5 linked regions of the Oryzias latipes genome follow. The protein of the gene in region 3 interacts with the protein of the main gene of each other region in a pairwise test. Links are inferred from orthologs where the notes say so. Each region holds a gene or a part of one and is shown on either strand. Other genes may lie near its edges.

Region 1 (5,509 bases), on a different chromosome or scaffold from region 3:
AAAACGGGGACAAAGGACAAACAAATTAGATCTAAAGCTTCAGATACCAGCAGGCAGGGATGTCCATAATTCACAAAATAGAGAGCAGCTTTAAACCTCACCAGACCAGCTGACTAAGAAACACCCCAAAGCCCTGTGACGCTTCGTTTCCAAGGTCACAGAGGGAGTCGTGGCTACATCCACGGAGCTGCAGGCCTCAGTGGATGTTCCACAGTTCTCTAGAAACACAGAAGCCGGGTTCACGTGTCCTGCAAGGCAAAAGGCCTGAAAGCATCTGCATGTTCCCCAGTCCTCTGGAGAAAAAAGGTCTCATTACGTCAGACGCCAAAGTAGCACAGCTTTTCAAAATAAGATAACCACACCAACAGTCAAAAATATAGTGGTTGAGTCTGTTTTCTGTTCTGGAAAATTTGCTTTGTTATCCAGAATCATGAACTCTGCCGTCTGCCTGAAATGCCTAAAGGAGAAAGTTCTCCATCTTGTTGACTTCAAACTTGAAGGCAGTGGTCCGCAACCCTTTTAGGCCATTTACTGCTATAATGTTTGGCATTTTTTTCTCGGACTGGCCTGCATCTGGCTGAAGTGGACGGTTAATTATTTATTTATTCTTTTTCCAGGTTCCAATTTGTCTAAACTTTTGAGGGTAAAGTGTATCTTCATCCTACATTTTCTGTAGGAACCATTAAAATATGACAGATTTCCTATGATCCATAACTGTTGAGTGGAGGCTTAAAAAAATAAATCAGACGCCAACTTCAGCCTCGTCTGACTTTTAAGGCGCACAGGGGAAAAAAAGGAAAGTTATGGTCTGTGGTAACAACTGTCGCAATGAATCCATATTTGGAGTTAAAAATCCAGGTTTTTGACTGTTAGCTGCTGCTGTCTTTTACTTTGAAGTCGAAGGCTCTTCTTTCGTTTCCTCTCCGGCTCTTTTCTGCCAAATGAAACTTTCTAAATATGTTTGTTTTTGGGGGTTTCAATTTAGCGGCCGTAGCAGCCGCTTTAAGAAAGCGGCAGATGGATTTTTGACACGTGACCCAAGTCTCTGCGGCCCGGTACGAACTGTCCCACCAACCGGCACTGGTCCGCGGCTCGGGGTCCGCTGTTTTAAGGCTCTTGAAAATGCAGTACAATGATGATGTTCAATGCCAGAAAGTGAATGGACTTTCCAGTGGCCTCATAAAACTCCCGACCTTAACTCGGTTGAGAAGATCTTTAAAAACTCCAAAACCCTCCAATATGGCGGAAACCTTTCTGCAGCAATGAGTGCCTTAAAAACTCCCACGCTGGGAAAAAAACTGAGGTTTAGAGGCAGCCATGAATCTTTCAAAACACTGAAATGATTGAAAGATTCAAAGATTTTTATTGTTATTGTGTTTCTACATCCAAACTCTGTTGGCACTCACTCAAAAAGAAGTAAACGTCAAAGAATAAAAAACAATATAAGAATTAAAAAAAAAACAGAAAATACGTTAAGAAGTTTAAAATGTCATGATAAATAACAGCTTTATTGCACATTCAGTGGTGTTATGTACTGAGGGATGTCTGAGATGAATAAGATTTAAGTCAGTGGGAGGTAGAAAGCAGGGGGGTCACGGAGACTACAGCTCTGGGGAAGAAGATGCTGCGGCGTCTCAGTCTATTTGTCCTTGGTTTTTTAAAACACGGTACCTGAAATGATCTGACATGACTTCCTTTCCTTCATCTTCCCAGTTCCTCCAGAGCTTCCAAAAAGCACGGGAAGCCAGCTGCATTCCCCCAGAAGAGCAGGTCAGTGAGTTCGTCACCAAGAACAGACGGAGAAACCTTCATTTCACCTTTTTGACCCAACGTCTCCCACAGGCAGAGGGCTTTAAAACGCTCCCGGACAAACACGGCCACGCTCGGGACTGCTACTCCTTTGGAGTGATGATGGAGGCCCTCGTTCCTCTCCTGAACGGTTACGGTATCTTCCGCCGTTCCATTTCCTCAGTGTTGTGACCCACATTTGAGGCTGTTTAATCCTTCACTTGGATTGTATTTTAGTTTCCCAGGAGCTCTCTGAGGGCCTAACCAGAACTCTGCAGGCAGGTCCACTAAACTCTGACCCCGTGGCTCGACCGCCTCTCAGCTCCTTGCTGACTCATGACTTTTTCCGGTCAGCAGATTGTGGTTTTTCCTTAAATCCTTTTTTATATACCAACCCCGTTCTCCTAAATGACTTCTTTTCTTCTGAACAGGAATGACTTTCTGGAAGTGATGAACTTCCTAAAAAGTCTGACCGTAAAGACAGAAGAGGAGAAAAATGAGTTCTTCAAGTAAACGACTTGCTTGGTTGCGTTGTTGTTTACTGCATTTATGCATCGTCGACTCCAACACTGTCTGTTGTGTCCAGGTTTCTCCTGGACCGGGTCCAGAGTCTTCCTGAAGAACTCATAGCCACACGCCTTGCTCCCAAACTCCTCAACTCCCTGGTGTTTGCAGAACCCATGGCTGTCAAGAGCTTCCTGCCTCATTTGCTCAGGCCGAAGATGGGTGAGGCGGTGTTTTCTCATAAAGCTTCTCATCTCTCAGCGGAAGGAAGAAAGAAAGCCGAACTTTTGATTTCTTTCTGAGGGCAGATCCCTCCAGAGGAGGCAGCCATGAAGACTGCTTGCTGTCTGCGTCTCTCTACCGGAAACACGTTCTTCCTCAGCTCCTCAAACTCTACAAAGTCAAAGAGGAGCACGTCCGCTTTGTGCTGCTGGCCCACATCCACATCTACGCCGAGTTCTTCTCCCAGGACGAGCTCAGAAACCAGATCTTACCTCAGGTGAAGTTTCAGTGTCCAGCTGTGAGGAAATAAGAATCTGGATTCTCCGTTCGGCCGATTTTTAAATACGGCAATAAAAGACGCACGGCGTATTTTCTAAAAACAATCTTTTTCCTACAGCATTTTTTCATCTGATGCGGATTTACAACAATAAAGAAATACTCAAATGTAATTTTAAGCTTAATTTTCACTATCTGTGACCTCCTTTATCAGAAAGATGCTACGAGAACATTTAAAAACATTTTCATCAGAATGAGTCTTTAAAAAACTGAATGTATTTATAGGATGAAAAAGTTCATTTAGCAATTAAAAACAAGGAATTTACAATAAAGTATTAAAATAGTCAATACAAGTATATTAATAACGAATATCCTTAAATATAAACTTGGAAATATACTAAAAACAGCTTTTTTATTTTTGCACAAGGCACTAAAATGTAGAAATCAAAACCTTTGGTCTACATGCTTATCTTTTCAGTAACCTGGGACGCCACAGCGTCTCACTTTTTTTTTTCATTTTTGTACGGTTCTCTAACATGTTCCTTTGCGGCTGCAGGTTCTGTTAGGAATGAGGGACACCAACGATTCGCTGGTCGCCATGACGCTGCAGAGTCTGGCTGTGTTGGTGCCTTTGCTGGGGGCTCAAGTGGTTGTTGGTGGAGAGAGAACCAAGGTCTTCAAACGCACCACGCCCGGATTTAACAAGTCAACAGACGTCACCCCTGAAAGTAAGAACGCCCACAAATGCTGGAGAGAAACAGTCGTACTCTAGAAAGGCAATGCGGTTGCTTAGGTGCTTTTTTTTTTAACACATTCCTTCATCGTTTGAGATCTTTTGTTGTCCACGTGGTCCAGAAGACTTTCAAGATGTTGTAGATGAAATGCAGGTTTGTTCAAATGAAATGTAAATTTAAAATAGCTGCAGAACCAACAGGAATGATGCTTAAAGGTTGGATTGATGGATGAAGTGATGATTTAAGAGAGGAGGGAAGATCTCGTCTTAGTTCAGCATCTGAACTTACAGAAAAACCTACAGTTAATATTTAAAGTCGTATAACTTCGTTAATCTGCAGGAGCATTCTGGGTAATCTCAATTTGGCTGACTATGACCTTGTTTCATCTCGTAGCTTCCCCTGTTCACATCGTTGGAGACGCTCACCCCCAGATGGCGCAGCCCTCCAAAGCATTACATTTGTTCCCGAGGCCGTCGGAAGCTTCAGACTCGGGTGGGAACCTGGAGATGCAGGGTGGGACTGCTCCACCTCCAGGTAAGGCCTGCGGCATGAACGGCGTTGAAGAAGCAGCATCGTAGCTTTGACCCGATCCTGTTCTGTGTTCCAGACGGCAGCAGACACGTGTCTCTAGCTCTGAACGGCTTTCATCACGAGAACTTTAGGTCGTTGTCCTGCAGGCCAGAGCAGGTGGAGAGACAGCAGCCCTCCGTGGAAGACTGGCCTGACTGGAGCGACCAGGAGGAGGGTCAAAGTAAGGACGGCCAGTCAGTCCAGATCCACATTGACGCGTCCCAAAAGGCTGATTCTGGAAGCAGAGTCGTCGCTTACGAAGATAAAGGGGAGCAGCCATGGGGGACGGTGAATTCATCGGATGCGTTTCTGGGTTCAAGAGAGAGCAGATCTGCAAAGCAGGAGCCCCAAAGACCCCGAGCGAACTCCTCCAAACCTCTCAAGCTTAGTTCGGCACAGTCCACCCAGAGCAGGAGAACGTCCTCCTGTGATGACGCCTGGACTCAAGAGGACTGTCAACAACCACAGAACTCAGGGTTCAAACCCGCAGCCACCAAAATCAAAGGCGGCGTGGGTCTTGGAGAGGAGTTTACCATCAAGGTGAAGAAAACTGTGAAGCAAGACCCGGAGATGGATTTGTTTGCAGACATGGTGCCAGACATCAAGCTGACGTCTCCAGCTCTACTGCCGTTTGAGGAGAACCTTAAGGGCCCGGGGCCTCCTGCAGAACCCGCTAAACCTCTGCAGGTGGATTCATCCATCAGTGCTGTGATGCTCACGGCTAAGTTTGCAGCAGCTGACCTCCCCGAGGTCAGTCTCCATGTTTTGGTCCTTTTGATTTGACGATCTGTTTCCCGGTGATGGTTGAGTGTTCATCACCAGAAACTGACCAAACATACGTCACAATTCACTCTGTTGCATGTTTAATCTTGCATGTCGTCCTCTAAACATACCAGTCTGGTGTACGTGTCAACTCCAAGATAACAAAAACTCATTCTGTCAAACAATGCACATCCATTGCGTCTTTAAGTACTTAGTGCACTATAAAGGATGTTCGCCACCTGTCTGAATTTCCTCCCTAACTACAGCACTGAATAAAAAGCACCTTTTAAGTCCCTGTATTTTAAAAGCAATTTTAGACACCATGCTCGCTAATTACTTTTTTTTTAACTGCAAGTATGATGTCACCGATTTCTTGAAGTTGAAATTGAATTGATGCGAGCGTTTTACGGCTATTTATGAATCCACTGGGTTCTGAAGTTGAAAATGTTGATGGTTTATTTAAAAAACACATTTCTTTGAAAAAATAGTTCAAATGCAATGCATTGTGGTCCATATTCACCAATCTAGTGACCATCGATGCACACTGGTTTTTCGCAGGGACTACTGGGAAATTTCCAGAGCACTCGATTTTGGAACTGGAATTCAGACAGCAGTGCAAAATGGCGAACACCCTATATCAGGGGTCGGGAACC
Region 2 (6,255 bases), on a different chromosome or scaffold from region 3:
TGGCTGACTTCAGGTAGGAGATGAGGTCCTGGCGCTCGCCCTTCTTCTTGATGCCTGCAAAGATCATCTTAGTTCCAGGAATGTACTTCTTGGGGTTCTCCAGGTACACCATCAGGGTGTCCTCGTTCCAGGTGATGCCTAGATGTCAGGAGGAGACAAAAATGAGTTTCTGCTTCCTGACACCAGTCTGGACTCTTTCAAAGCAGAGCTAAAGGACGCCCAGCACGCAGGAAGCGTCCTCACCTTTGCTCTTGTTGGCGTCTGTGTAGGAGTAACCAGGCGCCTGCCCGGTTTTGCGCCCAAACAGACCCCATAGGTTGGGGCCCACCTTGTGCTTGCCCCCCTCCTCTACGGTGTGGCACTGTGCACATTTCTGGACAAACACCTTCTTTCCCTTGTCCACGTCACCCATGATCAGCTGAGGAGACAGACACACGCAGTTTACCCTCCACTCCACCGGAAAGCAAACATCAGGGCGGAACCTGCACGTGCTGCACCACCTGATGGGGGGGGGGGGGGGGGGGGGGGCTCTGTCCTTCTCTGAGGGTCACCCCCCCCAACCATGGAGCTGACTAAAACTTTACAGGGCAAGTAAGGTTAGACTTAAGGGGTAATTTCTGTAATCCTGTGAATTACTGTCCCGGTACCGGGACACTATGTACCGGTAAATTTACCGGGACACTATGTCCCGGTGAGGTTGACGGCGCGTGCTTTAAAAGAATCCCGCTAAGTGATTCCAGAGAAGTCCCGTCATAATATTTGATAGAGATTCGCTGGAGCCGGGCTGTTTAGACCAAAGCGGGCCGATTCGGGCGGGACGGGATTCCGGACGGGATCTCCAACCTGAGCATCATGATGGACGCCTGAAAACGGGCGCCGTTCTTCAGCCGCGTTTCTCAAATATTACAGAGACGCTCGCCGGGCAGCAACGGCAGCTAACGGTCACGGCGCCGCCGATAGTAGCTGGAGGTCGCCGGAGCGCCGCTCCTCTGCTCTGCGGCCGCCGGACGGACACGGAGCGCCGCTCCTCTCTCTGTGGGGAAACGGGACACGTTTACCTGCAGCTTCCGAGCCCTGAAGAAAACCGAGCGTCCCTCTGAGCCGACGGCGCTTCTGACGGTCCTACGAAGGTCACTCTACTTACCGGCAACTGCCTTTGACATCATCACGCACAACGTAGCAGTCCACCGGGCTGCTTCAGGGACGCCTCGGAAACTTCAGGCAGAGCGACTCGCGTTGAGAGGGAGAGGGAGTCCTCTTGTTCCAGCTGGAGATTCAAATACAAACTATAATGTTTCTGTCGCTAAATAATAAATATTAACTTACGAAAAAACAAAAATCATTTGGAGTTTTACTGCAGCGATGAGCACACATTCACTTTTTATTATAGTTCATGTTATATCCGTAAAGGTAAATGTTATCTCCGAATTATAACACATTTGAACGCAGCTAAAACATAAACGTGTATTTTTTATTTCAGTGTAGCCTATAAAATAATCCTCTTTTCCTTGGTTTTACTTTTTTCCAGTTAAAAAGTGCCGGGTTGTTATAAAATGTCAATTCTATTGAAGTTATCGGAAAATCGGCATGAATTGTTGCGTAGTGGACTTTAGGAGGGAGCATGTTTTATTAGTCAGAACAGAAACAAAACAAGCTCAGAAAAATGCACATTTTTACAGAAGGGACTTCATTCAAGAGCTCTCGGTAACAAGTGAACGCAACATGGAAAAAGTCCACAGTTATGATGAACTTCTTTATCATATTTCATAAATGTTGGATGGAACGTGAAAGGATTTGTGTTTGTAGGGACTGCAGTGACATCAGCCGCTGCAGCATGGCAGACAGGTGAGGATAATCTGGAGCAGGACGTCCAGCTCTGTCCTGATGTGACTCAGTACAGGGTGGGGGACAGATGCCCCTGCCTGAACCTTCATGGACCACAGGTCCCCCACAGGAGGACGGCCGGTCAGAGTCAGCAGAGCCCACAAACTAACCCTCTTTCCCTCCTGCTGCTGTCCGGGTCGGAACATCCCTGACAGAAATGCCCTGCAACCAAAAAGGCAGCTGCAGTCCTGAACCAGAGCCGTGATGTGTACACAAAGACACGTTTGTGTAACTAGGAAGATTTTACTTTAGTCAGGTTGCTGTCATAAGCAATATTTCAGGGAGGAAGAATTTGTTCTTAAACTACTGAATTCAAGAAAGAAATACATCGATTATATGTAATGATAACTTCTGGTAACTTCTTTTTTGTTGGAGTTTATGATGGTTTACCCGACTTTCCATCCTCCACACAGTGGTAAACACGTTCACAGCTTTATACCTCCACCAATGTTTGGAGAATCATCATCAAAAATGTGCATTTTCATGTTAAACAGGTCAGTGATGGGAGCAGAAGTGAGGCTCTGCAATTATGGAATCTACTTTTAATCATATTTGAGAAGGTTCTAAGCACAACAGCAATATTATTTCATTGTTTCTTGTACGTATTTTGATTAGATTTTCAGGGTTCTTAATACTCCAAGGCAGCTACCATTTCATTGTATTATTATGTAAAATGTTACCCTGCGACAGCCTGGCGACCTCTCCAGGGTGTCCCCTGCCTTCGCCCACAAGTGGCCGGGATAGGCTCCAGCAGCCCCGTGACCCAGAAAGGGAAAAACGGTTAAGAAAATGAATGAATATTATGTAAAATGGCAATAAAGGATTCTGATCAACCATAAGTTCTGTACAAACAGAAAACTTCAGCCTTGGTTTGGAAGATGAATAAACTCCTGCGAGAAATCTACTCTAGTCTCGTAATCGTGAGAATTCCCATTTAAGGTAAGGCTTTGGAACAGCGCGAGTGCAAGCAGCTCTTTATGAAACAGTATCACAGCTCTTTTGTAAGAGTTCAACCCGGAAGTTAACATTTACGAGGAGCACTTAAACGCAGCAGCCCTCTTGAATGCGACAAGATGGAGGACTATCCTTCCAAACAAGTCCCTGAAAACCTCGACGATCCGCCCAACAGCCGTTTGTTCTTGGTCACGAGCCGCAGCATCAGCGAAGATGAGCTCCGCGAACGTTTCTCCAGATTCGGAGACATCCAGGGGGTCTGGGTGGTCAAAGACCGGCAGACCAAGGAGTCCAAAGGCATCTCCTACATCAAGTTCGCCAAATCTTCGCAGGCCTGCGCGGCCATGGAGGAGATGCACGGACAGATGCTGTCGGACAAAAGCAAACCCATCAAGGTCAGGCCGACCCAGGCGCCGTTTACAGCCGCGCGAGCGCCAGCTAACATGCTAGCTGCTAACGAAGTGTTGGCGCGTGCGTACACAGCACAACCAGGTGGAGCAGGGACGCGCACGTGGTTATAGGAAGGATAGGAGTGTTTTAAATCAACAAATTGCAACCATAGACATATGTTATGAACTGGACAATGATAAAACATGTCATAAATGGTTACGGTAGAACAGGGGTGGACATAAGTTCACTTCCTTCCCTCCCTTCAAGCAATCTTTGATTGAATGTATAATTATCCTAAGTTTGATTCGTCTTTGTACGAATGTAAAACTGATGATGGGGTTCTTTCTTGTATTATTCCTGCTTTAATTGCTTAAAATAGACAATTTCAAATCAAAAAATATATTACTGGACGAAGCATCTCTGACGTCACCCATTGACGTCTACTGCCCCCTACTTAAAAAAAAAAAACTTTATTGAACAAAATGCAAATATACAACACGAGAGAACCGATGCGATGCACACTTCATAGACAATATCACACAGCCAGGCAGGTTGATTACATTTAAACATTTACATCTTTAATGAATTGGGGGAAGAATGGTGTTTTATTATATTTACAATTATGTAGGTGGAATTTCGCCAGAAGAATTAATAAAATAATTAAAAAAAACTTTATGCTTTTTAACACATTTTCCCATCTCAGAGAGAAACATTTTAAGACACGAATGAAGATAAATCTCCTAAACTCCTTCCTAGATTTGTGTGGACGAACTATTAAAGTGTTGCAGTTTCTGAACGATATCCACAGAAACTACAATTACTATTAGTGTCTTTGTTAGATGTTATCAAGTAGTGTAGGGTCAATTTAATGGAGAATTTTAAAACTTAATTCTTTTAGCTTATTTATTAAGAGGAGGGATCATCCACACCACTTTGCATTTGATATCTGGAACTAATGGATTCCAATAAGTTAAAATATGAGGGAAGGCATTGGTCTTTTGGAACAATCTGCATATTTTTACGTTAGTTCCACATCCAGAAGAGAAGTAACTTGTTCGCACAGACATTGTCATTTGATCAGGTATGAGATGATCCGTGTTCTTGACCAGCGTTCATGTTCCTGAGCATTCACAGCTCCTGTAGAATGACGGTAGACTCTGTCGGTGGAAGGGTTAGAGTGCAGAAGCACACGGTGGATGTGGCGTCCTCGGCCGACGCCTCGCTTCAGGTCACATCCAGGAGTGGAGCTGAGTCTCATTCCAACAGAGCTGCTACCATTTTAACATCATCACAGAAACATTCTCCAAAGCCAAATCATTTGAAGGAGTTGAAAATAAATTGATGTTCAGTTGAAATGTGATCAAAGGAACGCTGCACAGAGAGCTGTTGATTCGTTTCCAACCTTCTTCCTGCGGCGAGCATTCATGGGTCTGCTCGATGACACCGTTGTCTGTCTTGTGGCAGGTCTTCATCGCTCAGTCTCGATCTTCAACCAGACACAGAGACGTGGAGGATGAGGAGCTTACCAGGATCTTCGTCATGATACCCAAAACCTTCACAGAGGAAGACCTGAAAAACACTTTTAAAGTAAGAGCAGCAGCTGAATGCAGAGACGTGTGTGCTTCCTCGTGTTTGAACATGGCTTAGCCATGGACAGGATGAAGGTCTTGGGTCTGCATGGTTCCTGTCTGTCTTCCAGGAGTACGGAGACATTGAATACTGCGTCATCATCAAAAATAAACTCACCGGGGAAAGTAAAGGACTCGGTTACGTCAGATACTACAAACCCTCCCAGGCTGCCATCGCTATAGAGAACTGTGACAAATGTGAGCATCGCAGTCCTGAACCTCAGCAGAAAGGCTTTCCAAAGGCAGATCTGCCATCAGTAGTGACGTAGCAGAGCCCTCTGGCTCTGAAGGTGGTGTCTCTGCTTAGAAAATCCCATTTCATTATTAGTTAGCAGACGTTTGCTGTTCTGATGGCTGTTCTCCAGCGTACAGGGCCATCCTGGCCGAACCCCGCTCCAAATCCAACGCCTCTGAGGATTACTCCGGCGCAGGGAGCAGAGGGGAGTACGGCGGAGACTCGGCCAACCAGTACGGCTTTCACGCAGGTCTGTTGGTGCGTCTGCAGCAGAGGCTGGACGCAGCCTCCGGTTCTGATCTCTGCGTTCGTCTTTGCAGCAGACCCTGGGAACTTTGCGGTGCCGGAGAGCCGCGCGGGGGACTTCACGCGCGCGCTGATGGTGTCCACGCGGGCAGCGCTCACGCAGGAGCAGGTCTTCGCTCTGTTCGACCTCATTCCCGGCATGGAGTACTGCGAGCTGCAGAGAGACTCGTACGGCATGAACAAAGGTGAGACCCGATCTTTCATAGAACTTCTACCTCCGTGGTTTTGGTTCCCATTGGGTTTGCCAGAACTCTGCGTTTACACGTCAAACATGCAGACGGCGGTTCTGATCTTGGAATGTTTGCAGGCTGTGCCATGATCCGCTACAGTAACCTTGGCTCTGCCCTTTACGCCAAAGAGAAACTGAACGGCTTCGAGTATCCGCCCGGCAACAGACTGGTGGTGTACTTTCTAGATGATGGCGAGGACCGCAGCAGGTGGGCACACTTGCACAGCAGCACTGCCCAAAGGTGGGGTTGGAGGAGGAACTGTGATCGTTGGGTGAACAGGGCGACCTCTAGTGGCCGTCCTCAACACTGCAAACATGAAACCAGCCTTGAAGGTCACTTTAGACACGCCACAGACCAGCTGTAGGGCTGCTGGGTTTATTCCTGGCTACCTGTCATGTGGAAGCGTCGCTAGGCAAGTACCCTTAGTTACCTCTGGGGAGGGGGGGTCAAGTGCACGCATTAGTGTGAGGGGGCTTCAGAAGGTCACAGGACTCACACACACGCTTTGTTTTAGGAACTATGGACACAACAGTTGTTTAAGCAAATCGACAAAACTGAGTTAGTGTTCCCTGGTTTATCACAAGACGTCACACTACACACGCTCTACACGTTTATCCGACACACATGA
Region 3 (6,088 bases):
AAAATATTGTGTGCCTTGCGATAGAGTGTCCACCTGACAGGATGTCCACCTGATGACTACACTCTGATTGTCTAATTTCCTGAAATCTATCAGTCAGGGTGCATCCACGGAACGCACACTTACCACATGAACAGCCCTACCATGACCTTTGAGCACAGAATTAGGGGATTGAACAAAATCAAAAAATCAAAATCCTTACGGGGGTGGGTAAGGTCCGCTCTGAGTACCTGTAGTCTCTGGAAGCTGTGTGGCTGTCTGAGGGGACACACCTTTCAGACATTACGTGGTGGTCGACGATGGTGCCTTTGGCATGACAGACTGGGGTGGAGGGTCACTCTTTGCAAAAACGGGTACTGAAGATTGTGTTTGAACTACAGAAGGATCCCTCTTTCCAGAGTCCCTGGGAAAGTTTTCTCCAGGAAAAGGAGAGGAGAAATTGGTCGAGTTAAACCTCTGATTCAGGAGGAACAGGGGAGTATTCAGCCCGGTTGTGGAACAGCAAATCAGCTTTGATTAATGGTTCAGGGTTCATGAGTTGTTCCTCATGGTGTTCTATGGGAGACACTGCAGGAATATACGGTCCTGGACCTTCTACTAATGGCCGTCTCTGTACAACCAGAGCAGGAGTTTGGTTCCCAGCTGGCATTGAGTCAATCTTGTTTCCGGTGCATGTTGGAGTCCAGCAAGGATGCCCTGCCTTTGTCAGGGGTCCAGTTTACAGACCCCGAGATTTCATCTCAGCGTTTTGCTGAATTAGACCCTTCAAAATCGAGACCATGGTTCTCACTCATTGACTGTATATTGAAATTATACCCGGGGTGGGCAAAGTACAGCCATGTACGGCCTGTCAAGCTATTTAATATGGCGCTGGAATAAATTATATTGATAGTTATCAATGTTTTATTTCCCATGTATTGGTAATTACAGGGAATTGGTAATTGGTGTCTACCAATGGTGTACAGGAAAAACTAATTGACCTTTGTGTGGGTGCAGAAAGATATTCACCATTCATGTGGTGTTGGAAGATTTGTTGTTTTCGATGTTCATGTGCATATTCCGAGTTGGACAATAATTTTTTTAGCCACACGACCGCTGCATTTCTAAGTTTGCATTATTTCCAGATGGACATAGACCTATTGGTGCAATTGGCAATAAAATGGAACAAAAGCCGAGGTTTTGAAATGAAAACTCCAAAATGCGTGGTTCGGACCTTGTCGCAAATTTTAGCACCCTTTGTGGGCCACGAGTCGAAAAGTTTGCCCACCCCTGCTCCATACAGTCAATATTCTCTCTAGAAAAAGGGGGGGGGGGGGGCTCTCTGGGTGGGTGGAGAGCTCCTGCCCCAATGGGAGGAGTTCAAGTATCTTGGGGTATTTTAAGTTTGGGTCACATAAATTATGTTGGGACTATGTGTCTCAGCTGGCCTGAGAGCACCTCCAGGTTCCTTCGGCAGAAATCCAAAAGTAGAAAAGAAGGTTTGCTTAGACTGACCCAGGTAAACGGAGGAGGATGGATGGATGGATGGATGGATGGATGGATGGATGGATGGATGGATGGATGGATGGATGGATGGATGGATGGATGGATGGATGGATGGACTTATTCTTGCTGAAGAAGGAAACAGACCTTTCACTATAATTTCCTGGCAGTTTACAAACCCCATCTTATGATATATCCAAACAGAAGGGTCGTTTCTGGTTAAACTAACTTAAATATTTACCTCTACTTACACTTGTAGAGATTTTTTGGGGCCTCTGTTACAGAGAATGAGAAGCATAACTTTACTGTCATCAGTTTGAGAGAATGTTTTGCTGTATTATGATTTTTTAATAACAAATGGGGCAAAATTAAATATCCAAGGAGTAATATCTTATGGGTATTTTTTAAAGCCACACACCACGTTTTGCTTCTAGCTTTGAATTTGTGCATGATTCATGTTGTTTTATGAATATTGGGTAAACAAAAATGTTCCTGTTTGGAATTCTGTAAAAGACTTTATACTTCCCTAATTTTAAACGGTGTTGTTTAGAGATTTTGAGTGAATGTTTGGACGCTGTAAAGATCAATTAATGGACTGAGCTAACGTTGTTGCACCACAGCCCTAAAATAAAATAAAAAATGTTTGAAGTTTTCACAATGACCAGGCGGGGGCGCCACTTGAAAAGCTGAAATGTTTATCTGAGAGAAAAAAAACGGAAGCACTTCATTGGTCGGGGAGGCCAAGTTCACGCGAACTACAGCACGAAAAGGTAAGAACAAGAAAATGTGCGGAGATGCTTTAAAACTGCGTGCGACACTTCCAAGACGAAGCCAAGCTCCACGTTTAGAGACCGGCTCGCGACAGATAGGAGACACAGCAGCGCGCGAGCTCAGGGGAGGAGGACGTAGAGGGCAAAGTCATACGTAACGAAGATTATGGAGGCAGAGAGCAGGAGGAAGGGGGAGCGTGAGAAAACCTTCACGATAAAAGTTGTGAAAAGAGATTAGCGACGTTGTACTGGATTTGTCCTGATTTTAAATGTTTGAGCGCGCTAAAATCGCACGAGACAGGAAAAATCCTGAAAATCGAACTGACTTGTGGGTAATTACACATGTACTTCCTAAACATTCCATTGATTGAAGTCACAAAATATTTTGGGTCTTCATACAATACTCCTAGTTAAAGGCAGGATCTCGGAAGCATTTTTGAAAATAATCTGTAAAGAAAAACGTAAATGAAAAGAGCTAATTATTTTCTACCAATAAATCAAGCATTTTTTATGATTGAAATAGTTCCTAATAAGACTGATGGCAGCCCTTGTAGTTGTACACATGTTCAGAAATTCAAATTTCAATTCTTTTTTTTTCCCCGTAAGTACAAATGAATTTCATGTAACTTTATTAAAACAGTTCAACTTTTTGTTTTTTTTTATCTCTGTTTTGTATTACTTTTTTTAAATTAAAAACATAGATGTCATACAGTAAATAATAAAAAACATTAGCTGTACATCAATTGTTCAAAGTACATACACAAAAATAAAATGATATTAAATTATAAAGCTGAACAAAACGACGTGTTTTAATTGCTTTTTTGTTTGTACTGGGAGAATGGAACGTGAGTAACACCTTAGTTGGGCCAATAATTTAAAAAAAATCCACAGCTCTTCAAGGATTAGCTTTACCATGTCGGCCTAATTTTGAAGCTAAGATGTTAAAACCACAAAGAAATCTGATTTACGACCTGGACAATTCAAAGTTCTATTAATGCAGTTTTCATTTGATTAGAAAAGAACTTCACATTAAAAGCGTATCTCTCTGTTATGATGATGAAACAAAAGGAAAGCATAAAGTGTCATTATATATTCTTTTATATAGGTTTATATATGTATTCAAATGTTTTTAATCGTCTAAAAGTTCTTTTCCTTTCTGCTCCTTTTATTTATTTATTTTTTTGTGAACATCCATACACACAGCACATTTACCACTGTTTGCATCAGCTTTTAGTCCTCCAGTCGAACATCTGCTACAGGGAATAAACAGTTCAAAGTCATACTTGTGCTTGCACAGTTCCAAAACATGCCTGCTCTGCATGGGAGCCCCGGTCTGTTCCTCCGTTTGCCTGAAATAACCTGAACTTGACAGTGAATTGTCTTTATTATTGTCCGTGTTTTTTGTGTGTCGCACAGATGGCTCACAGGCTCCTGGTACGTAGGGTCTGGACGTTGTCTGTCCAAGATATCCGCCGCCTCCCGTCGTCCGCCGCCGCCATTTCCACATCCTCCTTCTCAACCTCTCTGCAATCCCCGCCAAGCCGGGTGTCCCTCCTCTCCCCGTCACGCACTCTTCCCCGCACCCTCCATCAGATCTCTCGCAGGGACGTCTCCTTCAATGTCCAGGACACCGAGGATTTCACAGAAAGGGTCGTCAACAGCCAATTGCCCGTGTTGGTGGACTTCCACGCTCAGTGAGTACTTAAGGATAGCTGCTGCTGACCTCCTAAATTACTCGCCCCCCGGTCGGGCATCACAAAAAAAGAAAATAAATGGAGACTTGTCTTCATATCTGTTGCTTTGTTTAAGATGTTGGCTTCATCAGGATCCAACCCACAGGCTCTTCACTAAGCTGACATGTTGATGTGTCACAATGGGCCGCTCTAAATTTACTATCGGGCAAAGCTCCCACAGCAATTATACAACACACACATTTCAGCTTTAAAAGCCTCCCTCCCCAGGGCTAAAGCGGGGTATTTTTGCCGCCCTACTTTTGCGTTTTCCTCTCATACGTCATGTGACGGTTCAGTCCACTTGAATGCGGTCAGAGGAACTTGAGCTGATTTTTCTTTGAAATACGGCTAAAATACTAAAACAAGCTGTGATCAAAGATGGAATATTGGCAGACTTGTAGATTATCTGTTTCAGGATCAAATCACATTTAAATTAAGGAGCTTTGAATCCAAAAAATGATTTTAGACTATTATCACTTTCATACGTATGAATGTGAGAACCCGCTCGTTTTTGTGGGAGGGGCTTGTGCTCAGAGTTCAGGTTTTTAGACGAATACTCAGAAATGTGTGACTGAAGCAAAATATCGCTTTGGGGTTGTTGTTTTTGTGAGGAATGACCATTATAATGCATAATATAGGCCCTTTAACAGAGTTGTAACCAACTAACGTGTCTGTTGCTGTAAAAACCACAGTTTGAGCTTATTTATTTTTTTTCCTGTTGATTAAGCAAACATCTACCAAAACGTCCAAAGTGATTGGATTTTGATTCCCAAAAGTGGAACTTTCATCAAAGTCCCACTCCGATCATCTTTTGATGTATTTTCAAAGCCTCCCAGTGATCTTTTAATTATGATTATGCCATTTTATTTTGGCCAAAATGAATAAACCTGTGTCGTTTCCTAGGATATCATTTTCACAGAGCGGCAGGAGTTCATCAGAAATGTTGGCGCAGAGTAAGCCTGTCCCCTCTTTCTCTGAGAGCTCTTTGTTTACACTCTCTCCCGCTGGCTTACAGCCCCGTAAACCCCCAACGTAACATTACTGACTCAACATAGAGGTGAGCAATGTTGGAGCGATCCAGCCGTACAGTTTGGATCCAGATTCCAGCTCAGACGAGGAAAACAAAGACAAACATGGATCACATGCATCGGAATGGAGCAGTGAGACTGTGGCCCAGCCAGCATTCTCTCCATAACACGGATACAAACTTTTTCAAACATGTTTTGACTACGATTTGAATAAAAAAAGCAACAACTCAGAAATGCAAATTTAAGCTGTATTTTCTTTATGCATGTCCTCCATCATCAGAAAAATGCCACAAGAACATTTTCTTTGGAGTGAGTCTTTAAAGAAATGATGCATTTGAAGATTTTAGCTTTACCAACATGGTGTGGGTTTGATGAATCTATGTAGTATTTTCTAAATTAAAGATGGATTTCGTTTTATTTTATTTGTGAAGTCCAGCCTGAACTACAGCGGGCCTGTGAATGTGTAAAATGCCCCAGGGGGAACTCCGTCAAGCGTGTGCGGGCGCCGTGTCTGCGGGGCCGAGTGCACTGACTGCTGGTGTGGTTTCAGGTGGTGTGGCCCCTGTAAAATCCTTGGACCCAGGTTGGAAAAGGCCGTTGCCAAACAGAAAGGCCGCGTTGCCATGGCGAAAGTCGACATCGACGAGCACACAGACTTGGCCATCGAATATGGAGTGAGATTGAACTTTCTTGTCTGTCTTGTCTAAATAAGGAATTGCAGGAGGGAAAGCTGTGATGTGATGATGTGTCTGCAGGTTTCCGCTGTTCCAACCGTCATCGCCATGCGAGGAGGCGACGTCGTCGATCATTTTGTTGGGATCAAAGATGACGATGAACTGGACTCTTTTGTCAGCAAAGTCATTGGACAATAAACTGTGCAGCTGGCTTCATTATTTGTTCTTCTGGTCCCCCCCCTCCCCATCTACATTTAAGTCTGTTTAGCCACTGCCAGTGAAGGAAGTGTTGCTTCAGCCCCAGCGGGTTCACACCCATCCCTGGACCAGCTGCTTCAGTCCAGGTTGTGTCTCTCCTCTCCTTTGTCCGGTGATGGGTGTGAGCCTCCGGCTGCGTTTTACTT
Region 4 (6,188 bases), on a different chromosome or scaffold from region 3:
ACAAAAGACCTAATCTCACCTCTGAACTGAAGAACTTTGTCGTGCACTTGGACATCAATGTTCTGCAGAAAGACAGGCAGTTGGTAAGCATACCTCCTCTTCCAATGTGAACTTTCAAAGACCATTGGACTTTTTTTTGTGTACAATGCAGTGGATTATAAATGCATTCACTACAAGAAAAAAAAAGTCCATCCTCAAAAAATCAACTACCTTAACATACAAGAATACTCTAAATAAAAATATATGACAGCTATTAGTTGTGATTAGTTGCTTTGTTTCCCTAAAAAAGAGGCATTGTCCTCCACAACAGCTGTTTAAAAAAAGTTTAATATGTTTATGTGTTTCAAAAATTGAAAGTCCTTTATTTTATGGAATTATTACACAAATATTGAGATAATTTAAGCCATTATGTCTTTTAAGTTTGGTGATTATGGCCAATAAACAATAAAAACTTTAAATGTAGTTATAAGAAGATCACATCAGGCAGATTATAAAAGGATGTCTTCACCTTAAAGGGCAGATTCCTGAAACTGTGTTCATGTCTGACATATATAAAGAAAATAAAGCTTAAAATTGGATTTCTACACATTTCTTTATTCAAATTGTTGTGAATCAGAAGCAGACGAAAAAATGCTGTTGGAAAAAGCTTGTAGCAGTGACATAGAAGGCACAACTGTAAGCCATAAGCCCCCATCCGCCCCATTCTGAGGCATCCACTTGCAGACAAATAGATCCATGAACGTCTTTCTTTTCCTCGTCCGAGCTGGAATCAAAACGGCTGCATAGCTCAGATATTGCTTGCCATTTTTGTTGCACTGGTAATTGGTGCGAGAGGCTGTAAGCTAGTAAGCTAGTGGATAAACAGATGGATGACGGGAAAGGGGGGAGGTGTTGCTCTGCACCAACCAAATTTCTAATGAACTCCTGCCGCTCTGCAGAAACTATGTCACAGAAGAGGACACAGTTTTTGTTGTTGTTTTTAATTATTTTTGCCTAAACGCAGCATAATCATAGTTAATAGACAACTGGGAATGCTTTTACAATAGATCAAAAGATGTTAAGAGAAGTACTTTGAATGTTGATGTGTCTGCCTGTGTGTTATAAATGACTGTTTCAATTGTAGACTCCAGAAAACACATAAAATACATTGGCCATGATCTGAAAGAAGACTTTGGGCTTTGTTTCTGACATTTTCTCTGGTGAGAGGCTTGACTGAAGGAAAACAACATTTGTGGCCCATAAGTCTTCATCTGTGTGGTGATGGCTCCGGTTAGACTGACTGCTAACCAGATTCAGATTCTTGAATGAATGGATGGTGTGGCCTATTGACTGTTTTTCAAATGTGTGGCCCCAAGATAGGGGTTTGGAACCTGGTTTAACACAATTTCCTTAAGATTGAGGACTTCAGACTGATTGGCGCTCTGGGTCTGAATGCGTAAAGTCACGTGACTGACACTTCACGCTCGCGAACTCGACTCTTATCTTTAATTCGACCTATTATTTAACAGCTTTAATGGGGTTAACCTCCTCAGTGGCTGCATGAAAGATCAACACCGAGGACTAGAAACATGTAACATGATGTACGGAGAGCTTCACGCTACCTTCTAAGAATGAAGACCCTCTCCAAACGTATTCATTCATTTATTAAGAGCTCGGAGCCAACAGTGAGTGATGTCGGCGGCAGGGGTCGGGTTTCACTCACCTGAGCATCCGTGAGCTCCACTCGCAGGTAAATTTCCTCGTGACGCTGGGCCCAGTAAACGAGAGGCGTTAGCATCATTGTTGTGCTCGAGTCGTGTTTACTTCAATTAAAAGGTTCTAACTAAAAATCGCATAAAAGCGCGCTAGCTGCCAGAAACCCGGTCAGCTAATACCCAGAATATTCCGTCAGCGTGCGCGCTCTCAAAGCGTCAGTTTAAGCAACGTACTCGTGCGGGGGAGGGTCACGTGATACTGTCCTTCTCTCTGATTGGATGTTTGGGAATATTTACAATAGTATCATTGGCTGGTAAAAAAAAAGGGTGACAGCCAGTTCAGACGGGATGTTAGCTTCATCTTGAGCTAGCATGCAACAGGAGAAGCAAGTTTTATGTAAAACGGTCGAGTCGCTGAACTCTTCTGGAAGTTTCCGTGTTCTCGTTGGGGTGACGGGGAGTGTTGCATCGTTAAAACTACCAGCTTTAGTCGACCAGCTTCTTCAACTCCCTGGGGTGAGAAGAAAAGAACTTGCGTGTTGTTAGCCAAAAGTGCTTGATATTTAGCCTCTGGTGGAACACCCATGACAATACAGCAGACTTCCATTGTGTGCGTGGCTTCAGTTTTACCGCAAGATGGGGATAATAGACAGTCACTTGAAAAAACTGAACATCATCTGTATGAACAACAAAATATTAAATGTTGTTGTTTAGTTGCTAATAACATTCAGCAATCCTCGAGAATGTCAAGAATAAGTGTATTGATCCATATATCCACATGATGGAAGAAGATCTCTTTGACTAATTAAACTATCAATGTTTTTTTACCATATTAATTTATTTCATTTTTATATAGATTTAGCTATGTGGATTTAATTAATTTGACTAAATAGAAATTGGATTAAACTGGGGTGTATAGTCTGTAGTTCTGGTTAACTCGTAGACAGGTTTGTTGATGTAATTTTGAAACCAAGAAGGTCTCAATAAAAAAAGAACTATTGAGAAGTGAAACCTGAAACATCCGGTGGTAGGAGTCCGTCTGGGAGTTGTGAAGGAAAATGTTTAGCAATACACTAAATAAAAACAGTGATGGTACTGTTGTTCTAAACAGGAAGGTACAGCTGTGTGTCAATAAATGCAAATATTTCCCCCTGTTTTCCATTCACTATGTGGACTTTTGTCAACAGCCTTTTTGGGGGAAAGTCCCCCCCCCCCCCCCCCCCCCCAAAAAAAAAAGAAATAAATAGAGCCCAACCTATTGTCAATATTTTAATTTTAAAAAAAAGTATTGAAGCCTCCACAGAATATCTCGGTGTTGAGCACCAAAATAAAACCATATTCCACCAATGCATGAAAGCTAAATCTTGGAATCTTCAATGTAACGATGCACAAGAATTTACTTTATGATGCATACGTTTGCAACAAACTCCATTTAACAGCTCCTGCTGCAGAAAATGTGACTTTACAAGTCTGTCTTCATTTGCTGCAAGCTTTAGTGTGTCTAAAGCTTATCAGTTCCGTTCATTTTAACAGTTTTTTTTCTCAGAAGTTTGATTAAACGACAGACTACTTCCCTAAAAGAAATTATTGTGGTTTTCATGGTCCAGTTTTGTGCTTTAGGTGGATGTCAGAGTGGTCACCACAGAGCACGCCAAGCACTTCTACAAGCATGCAGAAGTGGCAGTAAAAATCTACAGCGACAAGGATGAATGGGAGGTAATGTTGGGATTGCCCCAAATGTTTTTTGACATTTTTTCTTGTCGTCTTTTCTTGAACACGAGTGAATTACTAAGAAATGTGGGGAACTGCCTCTAAGATGTGTAAATATTGTGAAATGCTGACGTCGCGTGTCCCCAAAGGAGCAGTGAAGAAAAAAGCGTCTTAGTGTTTGCTTGCCAAATATCCTGTTTCTCATTTAGCTCTGGAAGGAGCGCACTGACCCCGTGTTACACATTGAGCTGAGGCGCTGGGCAGACCTGCTTGTCATTGCACCACTTGATGCCAACACACTTGGAAAGATTTCTAATGGCATTTGTGACAATCTGTTGGTGAGGAAACATATGATCGGTCAACACAATTTGTCACACAGTTCACTAAGGTCCTTTGTAGATTTATGTGACTTTTATTTTTTTATTGATGATTTCTTTTTTTAGACATGTGTCGTAAGGGCCTGGGATACAAGTCGACCTCTTCTTTTCTGTCCTGCAATGAATACAGCAATGTGGCTGCATCCCATAACAGCCCAGCAGATATCCAGACTAAAAGAGTTTGGATACATGGAAGTCCCTTGCATTTCCAAGAAGCTAGTATGTGGAGATGAAGGTTGGTTTATTTTTTTACAAAGTGATTTCTTTGTTTTCTTTCCTTGCCGTATCAAATATGAGGTTATGGTGTCTTTATTTTGAACATTTTCTAAAATAACAATTATCCCTGCTCCCACAAATCAAAAGAGTTTCTCCCATATGTCACATTTTAAATCAACAAAGTTTGGTTTTATTTTACAGGCAATAAAACAGGAGGTCTTGTGCAGAAGCATTAACTACAAAAGTGTCTCTTTTCCTCCTTCAGGATTGCATAATTTCCCCCAAACTGTTGCTGTGCCAAACGATCATCTGAGCGTATTGCCTTTCAATCAGGAAGCCCCCAAAATGCCTCGGAATGTGCAGACAGGTGTGGATTTGCAGCAACTTAATACTTGCTGCTGATAAAAACCTATCCTGAAACCATAACAGACATCCATACAAGTTAAAAGAAAATGCCATTACTTGTTAAATTCACCTTTTTACTGGAGCAATCATTGCTGAAACTCCCACAGGCCTGCTCCCAGGCCCACACTTCCCTTTGCACAGGTTACATTTTTTAGCCATTACATACAGATATATAGTATTTCCTGTTTTACATATTTTTGCGATTACGCAATGACAGTGCGGTAGCCGCGCTGTCCTTCCCGCCGGTTTCTTCTCCTTTCAGACTTAAGACATCTGCAGTGCGACCCATCCGACTTCAATTATCGCACAAAGGTTCAACTGTTTCACAAATGACGTCCAGCAAGATCCCTGTAAACCCATGAGTTCAAGGCTGCAATGAAGTTTTTAACAAGTTTTTGATGAACAAAGTAAAAATGAGAAACTTTTTCTGATAAAGGCTGTACAAATACGGTAAACCTGTTGTTCCATCAATGTTTCAGTTATCCTCCTACATACAAAGAGTGACTTTCTTTGTGATAATTTGAAGCCCTTCATATAATATTCCTAATTTTGGATTACCTACATAAAACCTGTCCATCTATGCATAGTTAAAAGGCTCTAAAATGCTAAGGATCCTTTTTTTCTTGATGAAAAAACATAAAATGATTTTCTTTATGATAGTATTGAAAACTTCATTACTTTGTTTTACAGAAATATACTTTATTTTATACGATAATATGACAGTAATCATTTTCCCATTATTAAATATTTTCCAGTCAAAAACAGAAATATACTAGACACAATCCTCTTTCAAATGTTGTAGATTGAAGGCACTTAAAGTTTCAAATAATCTTAGTTTTCAGAATTTAGAAATTAGTCACAAAATATTTTATTGAGTGAGAAAACAGGTTTGAGCTGAAGCTCTTGGCGCTTGATTAAGGCGGAAGCTCATTTGTGAAATAGAGCCGCGTTTTCATTGAGATCGGTATCACATCTGAGATATTGATGGGCGTCTCAAGTTTGGCTTCATCTTTCACAGAAATCTGACAGTTATTTCAAAACAAAAATCATATCTACCGGTAGTCAGTTTTTCTATTGGTTCATGTCCAGTGAGGTTAAAGATCATTTTATAGAATAAATGCATTAAACAATAAAATCCTTTATTTGTCTATATTGTCTTTGCTGGAGAGCATTTATTCAAGTTGATCAGTTTTAAGGGGTGACATAATGCAACTTTGTCACTCTTAGAATTGGACTCAGACATGCCTCCAACTTTTTAATCTTCCTTTGCAGCAAACTGTCAACATATGGGACTAGTACCTAGAATTGGGTGGGATGTTTTTTCATATGAACAGAGGTATAAAACATGATGCATTAGCCCTAAATCACCTGTAAAGATCTACCACTAACTGCAGAAAACTCGGCGGACCTAGTTTCCCAACATTTCATCATTCTCCTCTCGTTAAATTTCCTTCATTTTGTTGAGGCTTGTTGGGCAGGAAAGAATTGTTCTGGTTTTACAAGTTTCCCTACACGACGGAAACGTCTCGAGACGTTTCACAGATTCACACAGGCTTCATCTTTTGGCCACTTGCTGTGAAATGCACGCGCCTGTTGGTAGGACCTTTGGTGGAAGAGGTACCAAACAGGACAACTTTGATCTCACTAAAAAAATACTGACTGGATTATAGGAGTGTTGAAATGTTTCTGCGAACATCATGCCTGCAGACGGTACAAAACCTGATCGACGTGTTCACAATGAGTAAGATGAGTTGTGCAAAACGTTAGGAAGGTAAACAAACTGTCA
Region 5 (5,068 bases), on a different chromosome or scaffold from region 3:
TCTCTTGAAATTAGATTATTTTCTGGCAAAGGGAGGAAATTCTGCTTCAGAGTGGGAAGACACCCCTCTGTTGGTGGTTCAAGTCCCGCTCTGATCATCGTCGGATCTGTTTTCAAGGCGTTCCCAGTGGTCTTTTCCTTATGATGATGCCGTTTTTGGCCAAAATCAAAAACCTGTCTCCTTTTCCAGGAGTTCATTAGAAATTGACCTCTGAGTTGAGGTCCGGCCTGTTGGCGCAGAGCAGTTCCGCCCCCGTTCCCCTCCCCGTTGATAAAAGGGAGCTTGTGGCTCCGCCCAGCGTATTTTCTACGCCACAAATTTATGTGATGGTCTTTAATTGGCATTTTTTTTGACGACTCGTTCACAAGGATTTGAATAAAGAAATACTCAGGAAAGAAATGTTGATCTTAATTTTCTCTTTTACATCAGAAAAATGCCACAAGAACACGTTAAAAAGCCCGTTGTTCTTCAGAGACGGCCTTTAAGGCTCTGAAGAACAAGTAGCCGCAGGCTGTAGCTACAGCGGCTTATCACGTGATTTAGCCAATCACAATCAAGACATCGTACACAGTTCGCAAAAAGGCTTTGGGGCTGCATATCATTGATTTTCTAACTAGCGGGTCAGTAGAAATTTGAACGCAGGCTGCATTTGGCCTGCAAGCCAGACTTTGGACATGCCTGCCTTCAAATCTGTGGTAGTGAGGCTTTGGGGGCGGGGTGTTTAACCTTTAACCCTTACAGAGCCACTAAGTCTCGCCTCACCCTTTAGAGAAGAAGGACACTCATTTGTGTTCTTGTTACCTTTTTGGGGGGGGGGGGGGGGGGGGCATAAGTAACATAAAACATGAATGTGAATGGAAGTCATGAACTACTGTTCACATGACATCCTTTCAAAATAAAAGCCACCCTGTTGATCATCTCTAAGCAGCCAAAGTAGTGGTGTGACGTCAGCAGGGATTGAAAACCGTTTAGTATTTATCGATTTATCACCTCTGCCACAAATGTCTAAAGCTGACTAATCACAATTATATCAAAGCTAATAAAGTGACCTGCATTTTATTTTTTTGAACCATAGGGAGCTTAACAAAATGAAAAAGTATAAGAAATCTGGTTTCTCATCGGCTGCGCCTTGATTGTGGTTGTGCTTATTGACCTCCAGCTGATTTTCTGTGGCTCAGAAATCTGTCTAATCTGTCGGTGAAGGAGTTAATAGTACTTTATTTCACTTTCTTTCAATTTGACTTACCTACTACTTTACAGTTAAAGATTTCATCAAAGTCCCTCCAGGATGAAAGTTCCAGAAGAAAGTAGAGTTTTCACCCGGGGGTGTGGCTCTCTGATATTGAAAACTCTATTCTGGAACTTTTTTCCTGGAGGGCCTTCGATGTAACGCTCAACGTTCTGTTCTTTCTGTTTGGATCTCACTCCTCTGCCTCTGCTCGTTTTCTGCCCCCCCCCCCCCTGCAGTTTCTGGTGGGCATCACGGTGACCATTCTGACCGACATCATCCACTTCGGAGTCTACTTTTCCCCCGGCCTCTTCGACTCCAGCGTGTTCCGCTTCAGTGCGGGGATGGCCATCCTCAACCTGCTGCTCAAACCCGTGTCCTGCTTCTTCGTGTACCAGATGTACCGCGAGCGGGGGGGCGAGTACAGCGTCAACTTTGGTGAGTCCCGTCGGCGCGGTAAACGCATCAGAGAGGGTTCTGGGAGGACGGGAGTCTTTCACCTCCAAACGGGGCAAATGTTCTTCCTGAAGGAGCAGCACAAACCTCCTCCTCCTCCTCCTCCTCCTCTCAGCAGCTCCTTCAACTCCAACAAAACTTCATTTTAGACAAAAGTTTCTGCAGAGCGGGAAGGATTCATTTGAAACGTGTCTACGAGTTTTGGGCGGAGTAAGCCTGCGCTAACTTCCCATCATCCCTTGGTTTACTCTCTCTCCCACTAACTTACAGCCTCCCCCAATCTAGCATTAGCTGAGTTTGTGTATCGCTGATTGAATTTTTTACGTCACAACTTTGGATTTTTTCATCTGCTCCTGATCCCCAGAAATACTCAGAAAAGCAAACTCAACCTTAATTGTCTTTATATTTGATCAGACAAACAAAAAAATGTTAAATACGGAGGTTTAATCTAATCGGACATGATCTGTTTTCAGGTTAGCACACAGTTTTGGAAACCATCCAAAAAACACAAGAATCAATTAGTTTTTTATTTTTATTGTGTTTATTTATTTGAATCGGGACACTGCATATTAATCAAAGATTCAGCATAAATATGCCAGAGTTTTAGCACAAGAGCTACATTTCATCCGTTGTCCTAAGGCAGAAAGGTTCAACAAATTCATCTACAACACATTACAAAAGCACAATATTAGTGATAAAGATATTTACTAAGGTTATTTACAATAAAACAAGAGTCTAAAAAAGCCAAGAAAGACGACAATAATTTGTCTGCAGGACTGGTTTGTTTTCAGCTGTTCTGATTTCTGCTGATCCAGGAAGTCTGATCATCTTAACTAATTATTTAAATTAACTTGAAGTAATCAGTCAAATCCTCCTGAACTTCTGCTGAACATTCAAGTTTCTTCTTTGTTTCTTTTTCAAGGTTTTCCTGTTTTTAGTCTGTGCCGGTCACAAAAAGTTCAAATCAACTCTGGTTTTAAAGTTCTGCTGCATTTTAGCTCCAACTTCAAAAATGAAGCCGGTTAAAAAGTGAAACTGTCCCGGGGGGGTCCGTTGAATCCCAGTTTTATCTGAGAACTTTTGAGGACCAGTTTCTGACATTCTAAAACCCTTCTAACATCACGGAAAATATTCCTTTCTTTTCTGCAATGATGTGAATCAAAAAGCCCCACATTTGAACTTTTTACAAATGACCAGAAAGGTTTTCCTTTAATACTTTTCCTCAGAAATCCTTTTTTTTATCCGTCGACTTTCTGATGCGTCTCCTCCTCATTCTCTCTATTTTTTTGTCCACGTTTTCCATACATCGTTTAACAAACACAACTTTTTATTCTACATTCACTCATTCTGTGAAAAAAATTAAATAAAAAGAGAATTTTCTGTTTTTAGTAACACAGAGAAAAATTAAAGTGAAATGAAAGGGATTCAAACGTTTAAAGCTTTCTAAAATGTGAAGCAAGAATATTTGTGCAAAGAAAAACTGGAGGAAGAGTCATCTGAATAAAAAGCCAACAAGAAGAAACCGAAACGATAGAAAACTAGATTTAAGGATTAAATTTACACCAGAGAAGAGAGGAAAATACTTGGAAATGAACATTGACTGTATCAGAGAACTGGACTGAGCGAGTGTGATGTCATCCACAGAAAATGTTTCTCTTCCGACTCCAACCAAATGAAGTCGAATCAGCCGCCATTGTTTTGTGATTGTGGTCGCCACCATGTTGGAGCCATACGTCATCAGTAAGCAGCCATTGGTCCGAGTCCTTGTTTCTATGGCAACCATTCTCACCAATCAGGAGTGAGCTTGTTGGAAGACCACACCCCTTCCACTGAAAGCAGAGTCACTCAGTCCAGTTCTCTTATAGAGTCAATGGACCGCTCTGGAATTGGAGCATGTGAGGTTTCACCTGTGCTCTCTGGTACGGACATCTTCTCAGAATATTATATATTGCTCAGTAATAAACAGACTGCAGACACTTTGTCACCTTTCTGGTAGCCATGAAGCCTGACATCCATGAAGAACGCGGGCAGGAGGCTCCGCCTTTGTTCATACAGACACGTAACGTTACGCAAACAAAACATGTAGTGATATTCATGGAAATCTAACGGTGCACGTTCATGTTTGGTGTTACAGAGTGAAGGAGAACAGTAACAACCCCCCCCCCCCAACACAAAATCCTCCGGCGGGCGTCTATGTCGCGCACTCAAGAACGCACCCAGCTTGTAATGGAAATGAATACAATGGAAATTAATGATTAGAACGCAGTAAATTTGTCGTATTTCCTCGCGAGAAGGAAATTTCTGTTGTAGAATGAGGATGTGTGTGCTGCTGAAACCTCATGTGTGTGTGTGTGTGTGTGTGTGTGTGTGTGTGTGTGAGTAGAGTGAGCGCGTGCAGCGTAGAGGGAGTGAAGGAAAACAGAAATGAAAGGTTCCCCCCAGAAACCCTTGAAGTCTGAACACAGGACTAGAAAAAGTAAATTATCAGCAAAGATGAACGTGTTTAATTATAGTTCCAATCATCATATGCAGAACTTTCAGAAAAAAAATAATAAAAACTTTCAAATTAAAAAAAGGTGCTGTGATGAGGTCATCACCGCGGTGATGAGGTTATCGTCACACCCCTACCTGAGACCTTTGTAGACGCCAACAGCAATGCAAACGCAGCAGCTTAGTTTGGTCAGAATGTGGTGAAAAGTCCGTCTTCTGCCTGTCAGGTGAGCTTTCCTGCGGCTCCTGCGTTTGCCTTGTCGTCTGTTTTCCATGTCTTTGTTTGGCTGTCATGCTGTTTCCTGTGTTTCTGCACGTTTTGATGGTTTGTTTCTGTTCTTTCTCCTCCACCGCTTTCCCTCGAACCCTCAGATTTAGAGACCTCAGTGGACAGTCGCTGCACTACGGACAGTGCCGACAGTGCCTTTTTTGGCCGCCGTTATTGATCGCCGGCTTCCCCCTTTCTATCAGTTCCCTCCCCGGGTCGTCCTCTTCGGTCCTGCTTCAGCCCGGAAGTAAGCTTTGTGATCAGACTGCAGGACAAACGGGAGAAAGATGCTTTTCTTTCCCTTCTGTCGTGTTGAAGTTCTGATCCATCCCTTCTGTGAATGTTCTGGCTGAGCTGCACCAACAGAGGTTCTCCTCTGTAGAGAGTCTGTGTTGGGACTGCATGTTGGCACCAGGGGGGCTGCAGCACTAAATGAGCTGCTGAGCTGAGACGGCCGTCCTGCCGTCATGCGGCGTCGGCTCATTCGGGAGCACGACGTGGTTTAAAGAAGCAAAACCAACATTTCGTTTCCGTGAGGCCCTTCTCACCTGTCCTCATTACCGTTTTAGGCTCTCTGTTGGTGTTTATGTCTGCAAGTATTACTGATATTTTATTCAGAGATGGTC

Evidence for each region.
Region 1: the proteins of txn2 (region 3) and scyl3 interact in binary tests that used the Homo sapiens proteins (3 or more experiments, as listed by UniProt). The two-hybrid records come from large-scale screens. The link is inferred for Oryzias latipes from reciprocal best matches to the Homo sapiens genes TXN2 and SCYL3.
Region 2: the proteins of txn2 (region 3) and rbm45 interact in binary tests that used the Homo sapiens proteins (3 or more experiments, as listed by UniProt). The two-hybrid records come from large-scale screens. The link is inferred for Oryzias latipes from reciprocal best matches to the Homo sapiens genes TXN2 and RBM45.
Region 4: the proteins of txn2 (region 3) and ppcdc interact in binary tests that used the Homo sapiens proteins (3 or more experiments, as listed by UniProt). The two-hybrid records come from large-scale screens. The link is inferred for Oryzias latipes from reciprocal best matches to the Homo sapiens genes TXN2 and PPCDC.
Region 5: the proteins of txn2 (region 3) and agtrap interact in binary tests that used the Homo sapiens proteins (3 or more experiments, as listed by UniProt). The two-hybrid records come from large-scale screens. The link is inferred for Oryzias latipes from reciprocal best matches to the Homo sapiens genes TXN2 and AGTRAP.

Annotation. Positions count from the first base shown.
Region 1 is NC_019862.2:29,582,255-29,587,763, reverse strand, and holds part of scyl3 (protein-associating with the carboxyl-terminal domain of ezrin), read left to right. Parts: intron 1-1,713; coding exon 1,714-1,770; intron 1,771-1,842; coding exon 1,843-1,945; intron 1,946-2,025; coding exon 2,026-2,137; intron 2,138-2,219; coding exon 2,220-2,297; intron 2,298-2,374; coding exon 2,375-2,514; intron 2,515-2,600; coding exon 2,601-2,791; intron 2,792-3,346; coding exon 3,347-3,518; intron 3,519-3,917; coding exon 3,918-4,058; intron 4,059-4,131; coding exon 4,132-4,844; intron 4,845-5,509. UniProt on the Homo sapiens protein: May play a role in regulating cell adhesion/migration complexes in migrating cells.
Region 2 is NC_019873.2:1,274,059-1,280,313, reverse strand, and holds the start of rbm45 (RNA-binding protein 45), read left to right. Parts: upstream 1-2,884; 5' UTR 2,885-2,957; coding exon 2,958-3,233; intron 3,234-4,692; coding exon 4,693-4,815; intron 4,816-4,927; coding exon 4,928-5,054; intron 5,055-5,221; coding exon 5,222-5,341; intron 5,342-5,411; coding exon 5,412-5,582; intron 5,583-5,704; coding exon 5,705-5,834; intron 5,835-6,255. Other genes in the region: cytochrome c iso-1/iso-2, read right to left, coding at 1-138, 244-412. UniProt on the Homo sapiens protein: RNA-binding protein with binding specificity for poly(C). May play an important role in neural development.
Region 3 is NC_019866.2:21,790,720-21,796,807, forward strand, and holds the start of txn2 (thioredoxin, mitochondrial), read left to right. Parts: upstream 1-2,464; 5' UTR 2,465-2,518; coding exon 2,519-2,581; intron 2,582-3,665; coding exon 3,666-3,943; intron 3,944-5,560; coding exon 5,561-5,684; intron 5,685-5,765; coding exon 5,766-5,882; 3' UTR 5,883-6,088.
Region 4 is NC_019864.2:16,649,028-16,655,215, forward strand, and holds the start of ppcdc (phosphopantothenoylcysteine decarboxylase), read left to right. Parts: upstream 1-1,994; 5' UTR 1,995-2,066; coding exon 2,067-2,210; intron 2,211-3,314; coding exon 3,315-3,410; intron 3,411-3,613; coding exon 3,614-3,742; intron 3,743-3,847; coding exon 3,848-4,016; intron 4,017-4,262; coding exon 4,263-4,364; intron 4,365-6,188. Other genes in the region: hacd3 (very-long-chain (3R)-3-hydroxyacyl-CoA dehydratase 3), read right to left, coding at 20-62, 1,703-1,780. UniProt on the Homo sapiens protein: Catalyzes the decarboxylation of the cysteine moiety of 4-phosphopantothenoylcysteine to form 4'-phosphopantotheine and this reaction forms part of the biosynthesis of coenzyme A.
Region 5 is NC_019863.2:32,258,204-32,263,271, reverse strand, and holds part of agtrap (type-1 angiotensin II receptor-associated protein), read left to right. Parts: intron 1-1,467; coding exon 1,468-1,666; intron 1,667-4,546; exon of another isoform or gene 4,547-4,689; intron 4,690-5,068. UniProt on the Homo sapiens protein: Appears to be a negative regulator of type-1 angiotensin II receptor-mediated signaling by regulating receptor internalization as well as mechanism of receptor desensitization such as phosphorylation.